Anolis sagrei: one gene and its partner. The protein of the gene in region 1 interacts with the protein of each later gene in a biochemical or structural test. Links are inferred from orthologs where the notes say so. Each region holds a gene or a part of one and is shown on either strand. Other genes may lie near its edges.

The links. The genes of interacting proteins can lie anywhere in the genome.
Region 2: the proteins of BMPR1B (region 1) and GDF5 interact in a biophysical measurement, tested with the Homo sapiens proteins (3 studies listed by BioGRID and IntAct, with this or other methods). The link is inferred for Anolis sagrei from reciprocal best matches to the Homo sapiens genes BMPR1B and GDF5.

Annotation. Positions count from the first base shown.
Region 1 is NC_090025.1:23,795,832-23,806,017, forward strand, and holds the start of BMPR1B (bone morphogenetic protein receptor type-1B), read left to right. Parts: upstream 1-4,775; 5' UTR 4,776-5,121; intron 5,122-10,186. UniProt on the Homo sapiens protein: On ligand binding, forms a receptor complex consisting of two type II and two type I transmembrane serine/threonine kinases.
Region 2 is NC_090024.1:206,778,292-206,788,477, forward strand, and holds GDF5 (growth/differentiation factor 5), read right to left. Parts: upstream 5,277-10,186; 5' UTR 4,848-5,276; coding exon 4,211-4,847; intron 2,311-4,210; coding exon 1,442-2,310; 3' UTR 59-1,441; downstream 1-58. UniProt on the Homo sapiens protein: Growth factor involved in bone and cartilage formation. During cartilage development regulates differentiation of chondrogenic tissue through two pathways.

The DNA of each region.
Region 1 (10,186 bases):
AAAGTTTCAGTCCTCAAAGTGGGTGACAGGTCATGTCGCGGAGCTTTTTGTTTCTGTATGTTTACTTTCCAACTGGTTTGTGCACTGCTTGGTATGCTTCGATATCCTAAAATCTTGAGATGGCTGGCTTCCTTTCTTCTCTACTTTTCCACACATTAGAAATTAAACATATCAGATGGGCTCTTTGAGTGTGAAATCTCTATCACAATCAGCAGTTGATTGCCTTGGGGCTACTAGTATCTTGATACGAAAAGAGCTTTAACACTGAAGGCAAGCCGAAACCATGGGAAGAAGCAGATTTGGAGAAGAAAGAGAGGTAGAACTGCTGAAGATACTTCTGCTGTTACATGAATGATAGGCTCTCCTTTGAGCACCCAGCAGCCATTATGAGATTGACATTATTGTTTCCTCTACTCCAGATTTCTAGATTTGCTTGGGTTATGGGTGAAGAAAAAAACCAAATTAAAAACATCTTCTTAACCTGAGACAAAACATTTCCAGGAATTTCTAGGTCTGCCAGTATAACTCTATGTTGGTTTCTGCAGCATATTGACCATAGAATCATATCAGAGGGTCTAGAGACTACTAGAGGGAAGAATTTAATCTATTCCCCAAATAATCAAATCCAGAATCGTCAAGCCTTTAAATATGGAGGGCCAATGTACTCGTGACCAGTTGGACTGGACCAGAAGGATTATTTTACCCGCCCCGGCTTACTTATAGGAACGTATCTCCCTCTATGAACCATCTTGGAGATTAAGATCATCTGGGGAGGTCATACTCTTGGTCCCATCTCCTTCACAGATGCGGTTGGTGGGGGACGAGAGTCAGAGCCTTTTCAGTGGTGGCCCCTTGGTTGTGGAACTCCGTCTCCAGTGACATCAGATCAGCCACCTCCCTCCTGACCTTGAGGAAAAAACTGAAAAAGTGGATGTGGGACCAAGCTTTTGGATAATCAAACCAATCCTGACTGGGACCGCCTTCCATCTGGAAACCTGTGTCCTCACTGTGGGAGAATATGCAGATCAAGAATAGGATTCCACAACCACCTATGGACCCACATCCTCTAGCTACAAGGGATCATCTAACCTTCTAGATACCCTTCCAGTGCCAGTTCTAGGATACCACAAGAGGGAAGCATGATAGATAAAAGTGGCATATTTTCTATGATGCCCCTTGACACAGATTGTGCCTTAAAGTGACCCAAAGGCTACCCTACCATAGGGTTTTCTTGGCAGGATTTGTTCCAAGGAGATTTGCTATTGATTTCCTATGAGGCTGAGAGAATGTGATGAGCACTGAGTCACCTCCATTTCAGTGGACTGAGGCCTCATCTTCACTGTCACAGAATGCACTGTCACAGTTTAAGTGCATTCTATGGCAGTGTAGATTAATATAATCTAGTTCGATGCAGTTAACTGCATTTTGAATCTGTATTCTATGGCAGTTCAAATGAGGCTTAAGACACACACACATACAGTAGGGTTTAAGAACACAATTAGGACTTAGTTCTGAATAAACATATCAAGACTGCTCTGTTAATTTCAATATTTTTGACAGTGCTATTTCACTACGCAGACAGGGCAAGCTCCGGCTGCTAGTCCCAGCTTCTGCCAAACTAGCAGTTCGAAAACATGCAAATGAGAGTAGATCAATAAGTACCGCTTCTGCAGGAAGGTAATGGCAATCCATGCAGTCATTCTGACCACTCCATGCAGTCATTCTGATGTAGGAGGTGTTTATGGTCATCGCTGGCTCTTCACCTTAGAAATGGAGATGAGCACCACCCCCCAGAGTCGGACACAAGACTTAATGTCAGGGGAAATCTTTACCTTTACTTCACTACAGTCTACCCTCCACCTCCATGGAATCCACCATCCATAGCTCAGAAATATTACCCACTTACCCTTTAAAAAAACAAAAAGTGGCAAAAACGAGTTTTGCTTTTCAAGCTGTGGATAGTTGAATCAGTGGATACAAAACCCACTAATATGAGGTCTCTTCCAACTCTTTGATTCTATGATTCTATATAATAATAATAGGCCTAACCCTTTCCACTCTCCCTTCTCTCCTGGAGCTGCAGACTTAAGAATCTATTTCCCTATCAAATCCTCATACTAATAAATAATATTTTACTCTACAAAAAATTGGATTGTGATTTGTCACTGCAATGTGGTATTGTATAGATCAGACATGGGCAAAATTTGGCCCTCCAGACATTTGGACATCAACTCCCACAATTCCTAACAGCCTACCAGCTGTTAGGAATTGTGGAAATTTGAGTCCAAAACATCTGGAGGGCCAATGTTTGCCCATGCCAGATATATATAGTGGAAATGTAATAAATGAATAATAAAACAGTCCACCAATACTGGCTGTATCTTGACCTAAGCCTATACATGAATTTCATGTATGTTTAAAATACACCTTATTCACAGGGCTGTTAGGAATTGTGGGAATTGAATTCCAAAACACCTGGAGGGCCAAAGTTTGCCCAGTTCTGACCTACACGATAGAAGCAATGCAGTTTAACATCAATTTTAAACTGCTCTGGGAGTTTGAGTTTTGTGAGGCACTTTGGTGCTGTTTTGCTGTTGTAGATCATCACCACATTATTAAATCACATGATGTAAATGTGTATGATGAGGCTTATGTGTTTTTAACTCTTCTTTGGTTGTCAATTAAGTTTTTAAGTTTATATTGATGCTATTTATTTGTTTATTTGGATTTGTTTTGTTGCTCACTTTGTCATTGAATATTTGCCCTTTTTCCCCTTCTGGAAACCACCCTGAGTCCTACTGAGGAGATAGGGCAGGTTACAAATACTTTACTTACCATATCAGAAGTAAACTGAGGGTACAGTTGTAATGCATTTTAAAAAAAACAGCAGCAACAGTTGAAAAACTTGGCATTATACTCTATGTCCTTTTGAGCTGGCCTCTGGTGTTGCTATAAGAAGGTCCTCCATTGTACATGTGACAGGGCTCAGACTACATTGTAATAGGTGGTCTGTGGTTTGCTCCTCTCCACACACACGTCGTGGACTCCACTTTGTGGTTCCAATCCAATAAGCCTTTATTGGCATATACATAGCAAAGAGGTATAAAATACAGTACAAATCATGGAAAAAGGAACTTAACTTTGTGGTCCCATTTCTTAAGGTTGGCTCTGCATCGCGTGGTGCCAGAGTGCAGTCAGTTCAGCACCTTCCAAGTCGCCCAGTATTCTGTGTGCCCAGGAATGGAGTGATCTCATTTGGTGTGGCTTGAGGTTCCAGGTTTTAGCCTGCCACTTTTGGACTCTCTCTTGCTGAGGCGTTCCTGCGAGTATCTCTGTAGGCCAACATTTTTTAATCTAGGGTTCAGGACCCCTGGGAGGGCATTGAGGAGTGTCAGAGGGGTCACCAAAGACCATAAGAAGACCATAAGAAAACATAGTATTTTCTGTATTGTCGAAAGCTTTCATGGACGGAATCACTACCTCTTGAGGATGCTTGCCATAGACGCAGGTGAAACGTCAGGAGAGAATGCCTCTAGACCATGGCCATATAGCCCAAAAAAACCTACAACAGCCCACAGTATTTTCTGTTTGTTATGGGGATTCTGTGTGGAGAGTTTGGCCCAATTCTATCATTGGTTGGGTTCAGAATGATGTTTGATTGGAGGTGAACTATAAATCTAAGCAACTACAACCCCCAAATGTGAAGGTCTATTTTCTGCAAGGTCCACCAGTGTTCACATTTGGACAGTGAGTATTTGTGCCAAGTTTGGTCCAGATCCATCATTGTTTGAGTCCACAGTGCTCTCTAGAGGTAGGTGAACTAGAACTCCAGAACTCAAGGTCAATGCCCACCAAACCTTTCCAGTATTTTATCTTGGTCATGAGAGTTCTGTGTGCCATGTTTGCAGAGACAGCCCTAGGTAATTTTCAAGGGTAAGCAAGCAGTATTTTGCCCCCCCCCCCAAAACAATGATTGATATATATTTTCTGTTCGTCATGGGAGTTCTGTGTGCCATATTTGGTTCAATTTAATCATTGGTGGAGTTCAGAATGTTCTTTGATTGCAGGTGAACTATACATCCCAGTAACGACAACTCACATATGTCAAGGTCTATTTTCCCCCAAGAGTGCCTCAAGAGTGCCCCTGGGCAAAATCAACTATACTGCAAATGCTTACTTTGCGTAATGGGTTGATCCGCCCCTGCATGTTTGGTTCTATTACATCATTGGTGGAGTTCAGAATGCTCTTTGATTGTATGTGAACGATAAATTCCAGCAACTATAACTCCCAAATTACAAAATAAGTCCCCCTCAACCCCACCAGTATTAAAATTTAGGTGTGCTAAATTTGGTCCAGTGAGTGAAAATACATCAGATATTTAGATGACGAATCATAACAATAGCTACGGAAATATTGTTATGGTTGGGAGTCAGCACAACATGAGGAACTGTAACAACAACAACAACAACAACAACTACTACTACTACTACTACTTTATTTTTATACCCCGCTAACCATCTCTCCTAGGGGTGGTTTACAAGGGACATGCCCCAGATTACAATTAAAACATACATGTAAAACACTTTATTAAGGGGTCATGGCATTAGGAAGGTTGAGAACCACTGAAATAAATTATTATTGTTGTTGTTGTTTAGCAGTGAAGGCGTAAAAAAGACCATGGTGGGACTCCCAACCCTGGTGCCTCCACAGCATTGAGCTGAGTTCAAGAGGTGCCAATCTGCACTCATGCTAGTGTAGATACCCCGTCCTGGTGTGGCTGGTTCACTCCGAGCCTTCAGAGGCATGCAACGGAGGTGGAGGGGGTTGCTTTGTTTTGGGAATCGTGTGAATGGGCCGTAACTTGAGCCAGTGTTGAAGGAGAGAGCGAGGCAAGGAGAGAGGGAGAGAAGGAGGGAGGCTGCCTGCCTGCCTGCTGGGCTCACTCCCTCTCGCTCTCTTTCTCCACCGGCTTTCAGAGGAGCCTCTTCGGCGCTGGAGGTGGCTCAGGAGTGGGCTCTGCAAGGGGCCAAGCTGAGGAGGAGCCCCCAGCTCTGCTTCCCCGCCGGGAAAAGGGAGGGCAGCAAGGAGAAAACCCGGCTTCTTCTTCCAGGACTTCTGGCGTGAGTCTCCAGGGGGGAGAGCGGTGGTGGGGCGGCTCTCCAGCGCGGGCTTCCCCTGCCTTGCCTTTGGGAGGCTTTGCAAACCCTTTCGGTGCACTTATGAAGAAGGGGAAGGGGAAGAGGGTCGGGTTTGGGGAGCATGCTGCATGGGAACCGGGACATTTCTGTCCGAGGGGCAACATTTTACCTTCTGTGCCGATACTGTATCTCTCCTGCTTGCTTTAAAGGGGGAAAGAGTGTGTTTTAGGGTGCCCCTGCTACACTGGAATGAATGCATTTGTTCAGTGCTCAAGAGGAAGTTCATTGGCATGGGCAAACTTCAGCCCTCCCTCCAGGTGTTTTGGACTCCAACTCCCACAATTCGGCTGTTAGGAATTGTGGGAGTTGGAGTCCAAAACACCTGGAGGGAGGGCTGAAGTTTGCCCATGCCTAACCTACACTGTAAAATTATTATTATTATTATTATTATTATTATTATTATATTTTCTCAAAAGGGGCCAATCATACATCTTAGAAAATTTACAGATAGAATTAAACTTAGAAGTATTAAACAATAGTGAAAACCACTAAAACTTATAATACTTTAAAAAGACTACATAACACACCCTGCCACTTTAAAGTGGAGCCAAACTGTGTTAAAAACCAATTGGAAGGCATACACCAACAAAAATCCCATATCCAAAATGTTTGTTTGGATCTTAGTGTGTATCTATCTGTATATATCTATACATATACATATCTATATGCATATTTATCTGTGTATGGGAGTTCCCGGTGGTGCAGATGGTTAAACTGCTGAGGTGCTGAACTTGCTGACTGAAAGGTCAGTGGTGCGAATCTGGGGAGCGAGGTAAGCTCCCTCTCTTAGCCCAAGCTTCTGCTAACCTATTTATTTATTTACTACGCTTCTATACCGCCATTCTCAGCCCAAGGGCAACTCATGGCGGTTTACAGAATGGCACAATTCAATGCCCACAACAGTACAAAAATAGTTTAAACATTAAAAATATTTAACATAGATAAAAAATTCATTACAATTAACATCAATAAACATAATAAAAAACCGTAAGTCCTCCGCATTTCGAACCTAGCAGTTCGAAAACATGCAAATGTGAGTAGATCAATAGGTACCTCTTCGGTGGGAAGGTAACGGTGCTCCATGCAGTCATGTTGGCCACATTACCTTAGAACAGTGGTTCCCAACTATGGGCCATGGCCCACTGGTGGGCTGCAAGACCTAAAATAAAGTCCACGGTAACACATTATTAAATATGGTTTTCTGTGGGTAAGCAGATGGTGACTACTGGATGGCATATGTTCTGTATCAGAAGCTGATGTAGCCTATCCAATGCAATTTTCTGAATCGGCACCCCAAATAACCAAACCAAATCTATAGTTGACCAAACCTGATTCATAACCCTTTTGGTACTAATGTTGGAGAGTAGTCCCTAGTAAAAGTGGTCCCTGGTCAAAAAAAAAAGGTTGGGAACCATTACCTTAGAGCAAGGGTCCACAAACTTTGTAAACAGAGGGCCAGGTCACAGTCTCTCAAACTGTTGGAGGGCTGGATTGTAATTTGAAAAAAAACATGAATGAATTCCTATGCACATGGCACATATCTTATTTGTAGTGCAAAAAAACCCACTTAAAAACAATACAATAATTAAAATTAAGAACAGCTTTAACAAATATAAACATTAGTATTTCAATAGGAAGTGTGGGGCTGCTTTTGGCTGATGAGATTGGATTGTTATATGTGCTTTCAAGTCATTTCAGACTTAGGCTGACAGTAAGCAAGGGCCGGGTAAATGACCTTGGAGGGCTGTATCCAGCCCCTGGACCTTAGTTTGAGGACCCCTGTCTTAGAGGCATCTACAGACAATGCTGGATCTTTGGCTTAGAAATGGAGATGAGCACCACCCCCCAGAATCGGACACGACTAGACTTAATGTCAAAGGAAAACCTTAACCTTTATCTATCCATGAGATACAGTGGGCCCCTGATATCCAGAGGTATCCCTTCAGTAAATACAAAAACCCATAGCTGCTCAAGTCCCATTTTACTATTCAAGGGTATCATAAAATTGTGTCCCTTATTATAGAATTCAAGCTTTGCTTTCTGGATTTTGCAAAACATATTTCAAACCCATGGTTGTTTGAATCCATGGATACAGGATACAGGAAGTTGACTGTATCTCAGGACAAAATTAATGCATTATACACACACACACACACACACACACACACACGTGTGTGTGTGTGTGTGCCTAAAGGTAATTTCATGCACAACATTTTTCAATAACTTTGTGTATGAAACAAAGTTTGTGTACATTGAACTAACAGAAAGCGAAACTGTCGCTGTCTTAGCTACTCTTGTGGATGATTTGAGCATTTCAGATTTCTGGATAAGAGATACTCATCCTGTACATAGAGTTCTTCTTCACTTTCTGCTCTGAATTAAAAAAAAGAGTACTCAGGGCAAAATTATGGGAGCCAAAGGATGGGGTATTTCAAAGTATTTTGAAAACTGAAGAGGGCACTTCTACCTTTATTTGTGTTGGAGAAGAGTGATTTTTAGTAGATGTTGGTGGTCAAGCACCCAAGTAACAAGTTGGGTGCTTCAACACCTGTGGAAACTCCCTCTTCTACACAAATGTTAAAGGTACAAGTATCCCCTCCTGTGTTCATTCTGGCCATCCTATAATATGCCATACTACCTGCTCTTTTGGTTGAGGCCTTGAAGTGCACAGGTATAGCTTTATAAACCCAAAGGTCCTGCTTTTTCTGGAATGTTCTCCCCCTCCCATTGTATTTCTCTCCCGGTTGCCTAGAAATCAGAACATGTTTTTAAAAAATGAAAATAGCCACAGATTCTAACGTTCTAGCGAAGATTGCAGACTTGTGATTCCTGAGGCATTTATGTTGGTCAGTTGTGGTGAGATGTTGTGCAAGTCTATCTTTAAATGGTGGGACTGTGAAGAATATGATGAAAGTGAAAATATTATAGGTTCTAACAACTAGAAATTTTACTTAACTTTGCAGAGTTGCATGTGGACAGATATGATATACTTTTAGTGTCTCGTGCAATGTTCTCTTGGGGAGCTAGGGCGGAATATCAATTTATTTATTTATTTATTTATTTATTTATGTGACATATATGTGTGCAAACTCTTTGTCTTTCAGGGTTTATCTGAATTTTTTTTGGGGGGGGGGGCGTGTGTGAATTATTGACAGAGATTGGGTACTGAGAGAGAACAACTCTTCCCAAACTGACTATAGCACAAAACTAGGGAATCAATGGCCTGACAATATGAATAACAAACAGATTTGGATGAGAATTTCCCAATTGCCATTGCACCAAATTATGGATCAGACATACTTGAGATGTGAGAGAAGAGCCTTCCAGCATTAGGCCAAACATCTATCTCTAGTCCACCATTTTGTTTTCCATTGTGCAAATTAACACAATTTCTGGAAAGGAAAATGACATAGCATCACTGTTTCCTCCCTGTACTTGGACTAGTTGTGGTCAACACAGGATTGGTACAGCTACTTTTACATTTTGTTTAAAAAAAAAAAACAAACTCTATTCATTTGAAAAATTAAAGTGTAGTATCAAGGTGCTGTAGAGAACAAAATCCCATCAGTGTGAGGTGGAGACTACATAGTGAAAAAATGGTAGGTGTGTGCACTTTGAGATGCTTGTTGACTTACAGCAACCTGATAGATTTCATAGGTAAGGAATACTAAGAGGGTTTGCCATTTCTTTTCTCTGAAATACATCCTTCAGCATCTGGGGCTTCTTGGTGGTCTCCCAACCAAGGCTGACCCTGCTTAACTTCCAAGATCAGATGGAATCTGATGTCTTTAGGGTATGCCAGGGAGCAGAAATAGCATGTATGTGCACATGCATCATGAGCCACTAATGTAGCTTGTTGTGTTTGTTTCTAATTTGAGAACAGGTGTCATATCCAAAAGGTACACAAACCACATGAATGAATACTGTGCTCTCTTGGCCTGTGGTTGGTCAGTGCAGCATAGATTAGTCTCACAGTGTGGTGAGGTTTGGAAAACTAAAAGCAGGAAAGAGTACTGCTTATGTCCTATTCGTAAAGGTCAAATATGTGATTATTAAGAGTACAGTAATGGTACTGAGAGTTCTTTATCAAAGGCAGCACTGGCAGCATCTGCTAACTTAGTGTTCTAACAGGTGTTCTCCCTCTCTGTCTGCTTTAATTTTCCACTCTTGCTATGAAGATAAACCACACTTGGTTGGGAACTTACACTATTGCCTTCACAAGGTCAGTACTTCATACAGTACACATTGCACCTGCATTGTTTTGCTTTTTTCTGCTCTGAAGAATAGAGCATTTAAATGGAAATAGTATTGATGCTTTCCTATTTGCCCTGTTCTGTCTTATGGACTACATCAGAGGCACAGCTTGGGAAAGTGACTGTTTTGGACTAAAGTTCTCTCGATCTCACAATGAGCATGAACATTGTCCATGCTTATATGGGTCTTGCAGGAAATGTAGCCTAAAACAGTAACTTTTCAGCATCTGATTTGGGCAAAGACTGGAGCATTCCTTATCTAGAATTCCAAATTCTCCAAAATCTGACCTTGTCTACATGAGTGGCTAGGATAGTGACACCTTTGCATTTTGACTCTTCAGAATGCACAAACTTTTTTTCATGCACAACATAATTTAAAATATTTTGTTTAAAATTACCTTCAACTATGTGCATAGTAGGGTGGCCAACTTTCGACCAGAAATTTAAAAGAGATTTAGTTGTGACAAATGTTACATATTTTTACCAGTGCAGTGTCACTCCAGCAAATATTCATGGAATGGATAATATTAAAGAAGACTTTTTACAAATCCTGTCCAACAGACCCAGTCTGCGTTTCCTCCTTGTTCTCCCTGTCCAGCTGGGTGTTTTTATCAACATCTGCATTGGGAGGGTTGTTAAGTAGGACCTGGAGCATTGAGTTGCAGCAGCACTGTCTGCAATAAAATCTGAAGTAGGAAATAATATCTTACTTGACCTGGTTGTTTCATTTCATG
Region 2 (10,186 bases), on another chromosome or scaffold:
ATTTTTATTAATTGAACAAAACACTGAAAACAAAGTTTCTAATAAAATTATATTTATGGCAACTATGCCATCTAGATACACTTAACACTGTCAAATAATTTACTACATCTTAAGTTGATTTTTCTATGACCATTAGTAGACAGCACACATGATAAGGAGAATAATAAAACAGACTGAACATACTATTTAAAAGCATGATATTTAAGAAAAATAATATACAATGGAAGAAATAAGTTCCCCCGAAGTTCTCTAAATCCATGTCTGTGTACAATTTATAGGAAAATCAATATTCTATCAAATATACAGTCTTAAGAATTAGTATGAAATGTTGCTTACAACTATTTGTGTAAAATTGATTAGTTTAATCATGGTGTTTTGCAAAGATATCAGGATTATTTTCAAGTACATGTGAAATGAATGCATATGCTGACAATGAACACTGAGGATTAATCCTGTAGAGAGGGATTAACATTATTTAGGCTTTCAAACTACCAGTGTTAAGGAACCTATTGGCATTAGGTTTGCCAACGTCCCTGTAAATTCAAAACTTAATATGATATGAAAATCTAAATGTCCTTTGAGGAAGATGTATTACATCGTCTTGCTAAGAGGTTATCCAGGCATGGACAGGTATGCCATGCTATTAAATTATGGAGAAATTAGAGCATAAACTGATGCCAGAATGATACAATGAGGCTTTTTAAAGCCTGCAGCCTAAAGACTGAGGGGCAAAAAGGCTGAGTGGGAATAACACCTTATCTTGCCCTGTTTCACTCACCAAAATATCTTAGGCCACCACTAGGTCTAGTAGTAGCAAATTAGTGCTACAATGTGTCCAGAATAAAGACATACAATAAGTGAAATGTTATTCTGCTTCTTCTGTGAATGAATTCCAGTTTTTATCAAAAACATATAGCCTGAGCCTATCAGCTAGTTCACTAGTTACAAGCACAATCTTGCTACACTCGTGCAATGGCATAACCTATGGCTTTGCCACATGAATTTATATGGCATGATTGTGCCAAGATATTTTAGAGCTCTTATGCTGGCAATCACAAACATCTCCAGATGTGTCACAGCTGTTCAGTGGCACAGAAATGGATTGACAAGGTGCCCAGTGGAAGAATAATTGAGGATGTGACCGATTATAATATCACTATGCATAGGGGCATTTCCACCACTACAGAGCCCAAAGCATTGGGCAATCATCCATGTCCAAGGTTTGGTGGTTTCCTTGCAGAGGTTGCAGCTGAGAGGCTGCATAGAAAGTAGACATGCATAACTAGCCAGCATTGAAATACAACTATAGCTATTGTCAGTGCAACCCCCTTTGGGTAATAATACAGTGCTGGTCCATAGAATTGAAGTGTTCAAAGTTCATATATTAAAATCAGCCGCTGGGAAAAGCTTTGTCCAGAGAGCCACGTGAAAGGCTGTGCTGCTACCTACAGCCACATGACTCCACTACCATGTCTTCATATTGTTTGTAGACCACATTATTGGCAGAGTCAATAAACAGGATGCTAATGGGACTCAGCCTTGTTGGCACGCAGCAAGTTGGAGGCGTTGACTCTGGATCCATAGAGTTCATTAATGTTTGGATAACAGCATGATTGGTCGGTTCCAGATGAGACCGAAGAGGGAATTCACAGAGTCCTTCACAATGATAAGCTTCATACTCAAGAGGTGCTATTATCCAGTCATCCCATCCCATATCTTTAAAATTTACATGCAGTGCTTTTTTGCTACATCTTGCCTTCAGATTCTTGTTGGGCCTCTTTCCTTGTCGAGTTGCTAGAGGAGCCCTTCTCTTTCTTCTTTGATTGAATAGGTATTCATAAACAGTTTTGTCATCCTGGCCAGATCTGGCTTTGATTTCATTGAAGAACAAGTCTCTTTTCTTTGTCCTACCAAACACTAAAAACAGAGCCTTTTCATTGACTTGCCTCCCTGTTCTATTAAACCCCACAGTCCTTAAATCAACAGGCCTCCCCCTTTCAAAAGCTTCCAGTTCAAAACACAAGTTAGCAGAGTTTTTAAAATTCCTAAAAAGTTTCCAAATGTCAAAAACTTCCCATTTTGCAGTATCTAAGATATTGACAGTTCGAGAGTCCAAGAGGATGGACGCTTGCCGGTTTGTGGAGCAACTGAAAAGTTTCACTTGGCATGTTTTCCCATGAGGATGAGGCTTCCAGGTATCTGAAGGTTTTTTCCTCAAAATACGAAGTTCTGCTCCTAGTAAGCCGTCTTTTTCTAAGGCACTGATATCAAACATATATTTCTGCTTTTTTACAGTGGGAGCTCGGTCATCTAAAGAGAAAAGAAGGAAGACATTCATGTATCTCAGACAGAAATTTGCTTTTTGTTTTCAGCTTTTTGAAACAACATACAATGTCTACAGTTACAGTAGAGTCTCGCTTATCCAACCTTTGCTCATCCAACGTTCTGTATTATCCAATGCAGTCTGCCTCCCACCTGCATCCACAGCTATTACAATACATTATAATGTTTTGGTGCTAAATTCATAATACAAGAATTACTACCTAACATTACCGTGCATTGTACTGATTTTTCTGTCGATTTGTTGTAAAACATGATGTTTTGGTTCTTAATTTGTAAAATCATAACGTAATTTGACGTTTTAATACACTTTTCCTTAATCACTTATTGTCCAACATTTTCACTTATCCAATGTTCTGCTGGCCTGTTTATGTTGGATAAGTGAGACTTTACTGTAATTTGAAATGACACATTAGCTCTGTTAGGAATTAGAAGTTTACTAGAATATTCAAGTTCAGACATGGAAATATTTCTGCTTCATCGTCAGGAGCCATTTCCTCCACCACATTAAGGTTAATCAGTGAAAGTTAACTTATACTCAAATATATGTAAAATTATTGTACTAGGCTGTTAATGAGAGTTTGTGGCTTTCTTTACTAGTAATGCATTATGATAAATGAATGGAGACAACCCTGGCAGACTGAAAACAAAATAAAATAGAAAGTCACACATCAGTCAAGCATGTTTAAAGTTTGAAAATAAAGCATCTAAGCTGTACCATCACCTAAAAAGATATTTGCCTTACCATATTTTAAATCTTGACAACCAGCCCCTTCACGACCTGTATATTGCATTGCCATCCAAAGTCTTCATGGTACTTCATATACAGCCTTGCCTTTGTTTACATACTTCCAAAACTTTTACAGTGAAAATGAATGCATGAATCTGTGATGGATGAAAGCTACTTTCCATAATCAAAGTTGTATGCAGCCCACCTTCCAGTGACACTTGTCTGGGAGCACTGTGCACTCAGCACTTGATCCAGAGCTTGGAAAATGTGCTTTCTTAGACTCTATCATTATATTGACTAGCTGGGAAATTTTGAGAGTTCCACTTCAGAAAAAAACTAAAATTTTGAAGCTCTGATATAGGTTACATAGACTTTGTGAAGGTCTAAAAAAATACAAATGGTCTCATAAATTCCTCTACCAGTGTTATCGTCACTACTTCATCACACTAGAGAATGGATCCACTTTAAATCCAGTTTCTGCCTCTTACAGAATTCTGGGGTTTATAGTTTAGTGAGGCTGTTAAAGGCTCCTCCCTAAACTACAAACCCTAGAATTGTGCTGGAGGCAACAACTGGGTTTAAAGTGGATTCAAGAGTAAATCACATGTATATTTACCAAAGTATATTTAATTTCATTTCATTTCTACAGATCCCCCCCCCCCAAAAAAAAAAAAAAGATTTAGAGGTGGCCTGATTCTTGTTCTTCTTAAGTCCGCCTTTATAGTTAAAGCTTGAATAGATATTGATTGATCTGGTCTTGCTGCTGGAGAAGTAATTGTTTAGATCCAAACTTAAAGAGTTGAACCCATTGAAAGTTTCATATTGACTAAAGTCCCAGCGATAATGCATCTAGATACATTCTGTCGCCATCATATTTTTTTTGATGCACATTCCACAGAATATATTATTTTTAAATCCTTGTGCCAAATAGCCTTAAAATTACTAGTAGTATACAGTAACGGCATAAACCATCTACAAAATCCCAGTTCTGATGCTGAAAATGCTCTTTAAATCTGCATTGTAAACATGAAAATGTGTGCAATCAGCCACGTTTTACATCTTTCCATAAATACAAAAAAAGGAAGCATTCATATTCAACAAATGCACATTAATATATCTCCAAACATTAGCTTTTCTTACCTTGTCCCTTGTCTATGAAGCTTGTGATTGTATTGGCAAGTCCGGTCTCCAGTTTCACACTTCCGTTCACACCTTTTCTTTCCGCATCAGACAGAGTCCTGTATAAGGAAAGCATGTATTCGTGGGGTGTGATAGCAGGATGTCTTAATGACTCTTTAGATTCTCTTTGGGCAATAGAGTCTTTAGGCTTTTTGTTTTTATAAGAGCTGGCATCAGAATTCCCTGTGCCAGTTTTCTTCGGTGGGGCTTTGGGGCCAAAGTTCTGAACCTTTGGAGTCACTGTTCTCACTCCAGTTTGCCTGTTTGGAGGATGTCCTCCTACCTTTTTGTCTGTGCTCCCTGCTTTAGGGAGAGCCTTCTTTGAGTCATCAGTTTTTGCCACGAGAGTTCCAGCTTGAGCAGTGTTGGTTTTTGTCCTTGGCTTGGAATTCCCAGTGCTATATCCATGGCTTCCCGTTCTAAAGGTACCTGCCCTTGGCAAAGGGTTCCTCTCTTTTCCATCTACTTTTGATACAGCTAATTTGGCTCCTGGATTCCCTTGACTTGCTTCAGCAGGACTCAACACTAAGGAGATGAGAACGAGATGAAACCAACAAAAGTGCCAAAGCAGTAAAGTAAGAAAGTGCAAGATTTTCATCCTCTGGTCTTCCTTTGAATGCCTCCAAAGAAAAATTCAGAAAAGATTCCTCTTCTAGTTTGGCATAAGAAAACATGAAAGAAATTGAAAACCAAAGTCAGCAGGAAAAGCTTTATTTTCAGCTTAAAACACTTTAAATCTACTTGTCCAATCTTTGTATCCAGTCCCATAGTGGAGATGCTCATTTACTCCGTTCCGTCTTCTCCTGGTTTCTGCTAGCAGCCTGTTCTTGAAAAGAGAAAGTTTACTACCCCCCTTTCTTCTGTAAAAGTGACTAAAAACTTGAAGGACTCTTGTTTAAATCGGAGAGGGTTTTTTTTTCCAAGAAGGAAGAATGGCGTAATGCTGCCTCTGTGTTAAAAGGTTTTTAAAAAAGTTTTGAATCCCTTCCAGTGAAAATATTTCACACACAGAAACCTGCAGGTGCTCAGAAATCTTTTACAAACCTGAACTCAGGAATTGGAAGCGGAATTCCAACAAAAACCTATTTAATTACTCTCTGATGTCATGCTGTCTAAACTAATTTAAGTGTGATATATTTCTTTTAAAAAGTCTTCTTTGCCCTTTCCATTAGCATGAGTCATACCCTGCTTCATGTAAAATAACTCTGTAGGACCAAAAAATCTATAGAATATGCAATTTAAAGTGGCAACATGTTGCCTATTTTAGCCTTAAATGAACTTCTCATTTGAAACAAGACAGAGTCACATAAGATAAAACAGTACACGCTTTTAGCAAGATCATGTCTAAATAACAATATTGATCTCTGTGAATAATATCTAATTCACAGCTGTTTTTATAAAGCTCTGAACATAGAACCCAGTATTTTCTCAGCAGCAATTTCATTCTTTGGGTTGGTGATGACAGCACAGAAGTGAACAAGAGTATTAACAAAATGTAGTCATCCCTGCTAAGCATTTTAAAACATTATGACACACTGAAACAAGAAAAAAAATAATCTGATACATTTCCAGGGAATATATTGTATATTCTGTTATATTAATATGTTCCCTGGTTGACTTTGGAAGTCCATAGACATTCATTGTTAGGCAGCAACATTTGTTCCAGGAACATGGACCTTCTATACACTGGAAGCATTAAGGGATCTCAATACCATATTCTGGAGCTAAATCCTATTATCTTAAATAACTTGGATACAAATGTGATATTTGGTTTAAAGGCTTATCACTCTTTCCAGTTTTCGACTACTGAATAATGGGATGGACCACATAAAGAAGGGATAGAAATGCCTTAAAGAGAAGAAGGAGGGAAGGAAGGTAATGAGCAAGACAGAGAGGAGAAGGTGACACAAGGTGTAAAGGAAGTTGATGTGGTAGCACAAAGAGGAAAGGGAAGGTGGATGGTGCAGTGCAGAGCGTAAGGAGTGGATAAGGAAGGAATGGCAGCAGCAATAGGCAAGGGCCAGAGAAATGAATGGGACAAGGTAGGTGCACTGAAAGGGAGAAAAGCAAGATAATAGTAGCTCAGGTTCCCAGGAAGAGCATAGTGGTGTAATTTATCACTCCTGGTACTCTCTTCCTTTGATAGCCAGCTTATGAGAGAAACTTGTGGCATAATGTAAAATAAACCACATGTAGTTCACATTTAATCAGTCCACACACTGCCTTGCCAGATAAAGAAAATATGAACAATAAAGAACAAGTAGTTTACTCTTTGTAGTTCATAACAACATATGTACAGTCATGTGATCAGTTACATCAGTTCACATAATGTGCTTTTATGAGAGATTTAAAATAGTCTTTCTTTGTCCATGTGGAGAAACTCCTTTAGCAGCTCATAAAGCAAGAACACACTCTAAATGCTGTCTCTCTCTGCTTCTCTCTTCTTCTCTCTGCGTCTCTCAGAGCACCTGCATAGCTCAAGCCTGAAAAATGTAACAGTGACCAAAAATCCCAGGCTTAGCTTGTTCCCCAGGCACAGCCCGACCAATCAGCTTCATACATCTTATTTTACCATTAACACACACATTAACTGATTTCTTGCATGCTGTAACGCAACTCAGAGGAAAGCAGAAGCTGAGAAAAGGCCAGAGGTGAGGATGGATGGATGGGTAAACAGATCGAAGCTTACTGAGTCAGATTATTTTGACCTGAGATTTTGGAGGAACAGATTCAAATGTGGAAGGACTAACTCTACATTTATTTAATGTAGTCAGTGGAGGTAGGCTGGCCACTAGGATCACCATTTCAGAACTATCTCAGAAACACAAGTCCATAGGCCAAAATCTGGGACCTAGGAATGGTCTTTGGTGGTGTCAAGCATTATGCATTAGGTACCCATGATAATTACTCACACACTATATTATGCTGTTTAGAAATATAGGGAAAAAAACTTTGCTAAAGGGGTTGTAATTAAATCAATGTGAAATTAGGTGGTTAGGATAAGGAGCATAAGAAATATTTAAGCCAAAAGATGGATGCAGAATGGAGGCTAAATCTTGATGCCAGGAGGGATGGTGGGAACTAACTAAATACATAGACACCCCCCACCCCACGAAGAATGTTTGCAAGATGCATCAACAGTACAACCCTTGCAAATTCTAGGAAACTGCAATTCTACTATTTAAGATAGTCTGGTGCTGAGTTCACCAAAACTGCAGAATTTGTACCCTCGTGTCTTGCTTGGAAATAACCAATGAAAATTTGAGGCTTAGGATCAGATGCTGAGATTTGGCAACCCTATTTGTCATACCAGATTAATATTTTGTTTGATTCTTTTTAATGAAACCAAATACTTTCTGAGTGTAACAGTGTTACTCTGTTGGAGCAAAACAGTAGTGTCTACTTGCAAGCTTTAATAAGTTTTATTTGCCATAAAGCTTTGTAAACTGCAGCCCATTTCAACAGATTCATGAAGTGTTGTCTCAGCTGACAGATGATTACACACATTGTTGGATGGGAGCAGGTCATTAAGTGAGGTGAGAGGAAACTGAAATATTAAAAGTACAAACATCAACTGGTAATTAATCACGAATAGCTGGGTGATGGCATGGAATTCTTACCACAAATAAACTGATTAGTTCATATATTGTGAGGAAACAGGGAACAGGAAAAGGAAAGTTAAATTCTATTCTATTCTAGTAGTTACAAAAAAAAATTCTGCATTTCTGAAGGAAAACTCACCCTGCTTTTTCCTCCTGCAACTGCTTTGTTTTTTTCTTACCTTCCTTTTCATTTCCTCCTGTGAATCAGATGGCAGTCAGTCTCAATTACTTTTTGTGATTGTACCTTTTTGCTATCAATAAAAATAATTATGGCGAAAAGATCCAGTGATTGAGAAGGGTCATGCATGATATCATCATTATCATTATTTGAAAATTAGAATGCAAATTAGTAATGTAAACTGTGAACATACAGACATGCACATGTATATAAGCATAGATAAGCAGGTAAATATATGCATAGTGTAGAAAAATATTTGGCTAGTACATTGGCACAGAAACAGTAAAATGCCATCAATAAGCTTCTTTTTTGTGTGTCAGGAGCGACTTGAGAAACTGCAAGTTGCTTCTGGTGTGAGATAATTGACTGTCTGCAAAGACGTTGCCTAGGGGATGCCTGGATGTTTGATGTTTTACCATCCTTGTGGGAAGCTTCTCTCATGTCCCCGCATGGGGAGCTGGAGCTGACAGAGGGAGCTCAACCCACCCTCCCCAGATTTGAACCGCTGACCTATCAGTTAGCAGTTCTGCTAGCACAAGGGTTTAACCCACTGTGCCACCGGGGGCTCCATCAATAAGCTGGCATGGGGAGAATCCTATCGTTACAAATGTAACAGTGATTAAAGTCATATTTAAATATATGCCATTAGCCAATAAAAATTGTTTGCCTTCATATCTCCATTAATGGACTGGGATTTGTGAATATATACCCGTTCAGCTTTTTTTCTTTTCCATCTCCATTAAAAGTGTTCTGTTAATGAACTGTACCTTGGAGGTCTGGGATGGAATGACCAACAACGTTGAAATATTCTTCCACCGTTTTCTTGGTATTTCCATTTCTAATATCAGAATAAAAGTGATGATTTGTGGCGGGGGATGACAATTGCTTCTCCTGTAGTTCTGGATACTTCTAATCCTTCCAAGATGGGATCTTGGGAAATTGCTGTGCAAAAAAACCTTCACTGTGCTCACAGGTGACTTCACATACAGAAGCAAGCTCCAAAATGTGTTAATGCTTTGCCTAATTGTATATATATTTTTTTTAAAAAATATTTTGTTACTTTCAACGGCTCTCTTGTGTTTTTCTTTCTGTTCAGGTTTCATATTCCAGAAATGGGTCTATCAATATACTAAAATTTCTCCCAGACTTTGTTAGGGGTGTGAATAAATAACAATAACTGTAGGTAAATATGTTATTGGATGCACCAACTATTGCTAGGTATTTAACTTTTAGTTCCTTAGTCCTGTAATAGTAACTTTGTTCAGCTATATCTGCATATCTGAATTTGTTTCAGGTGTGTTCCATTCCATATTATATTGTTGTATTCTGTATTTCAACACACTGTACAGAGCTTAGAGAACTTTAGCTAATGGTGGTTTTAAAGTGCAACAAATATATAAATAACATAGGACACACTCTCTCTCTCATGCATAGGTAAAGGTAAAGGTTTCCCTTGATATTAAGTCTAGTTGGGTCCCACTCTGAGGGGTGGTGCTTGTCTCCTTTTCTAAGCTGAAGAGCTGGCATTGCCCGTAGGTCATGTGGCTGACATGACTTTGAAATGGAGCGCCATTAGCTTTCTGCCGAAGTAGTACCTATTGATCTATTCATATTTGCATGTTTTCAAACTGCCGGAGCTGGGGCTAATAACAGGAGCTCACTCCATCTCAAGGATTTGAACTGCTGACCTTCCAGTCAGCAAGTTCTGCAGATTAGTAGTTTAACCCACTGCACCATCACAACCCTTTGCATGCATACACAAAGATAAAAAAATAAGAATATTTCAGAAAATATTCTTGTTTAGAAATAAGACATTTTAAAATATATATATTTGTGTGTGAGATTTTTCCCCTTAAATTTTAAGGCTTAGATATTTGTCCCTTGCAAGGAATTGATGTTGACCATGATCAGAAGCTGAAATGTTTAAAAGAATATACATCAAGCACTAATTTTCTTACTAACAGTACTTCAACAGCATGACCGACCAGCATGATTTCCATTGTACAAACAGAGCCTGCAGTTCTCAAACCACTAATGAGCTATATAGCTTTTTGTGCTGACACAGCAATTTAAGGACTGAGCAATTTTACAGAAATTAAAGCGAAGGGAGTTTCTGCAGTTTGACAAAGAACGCTCTGAGCAAAGCTCACACCGATG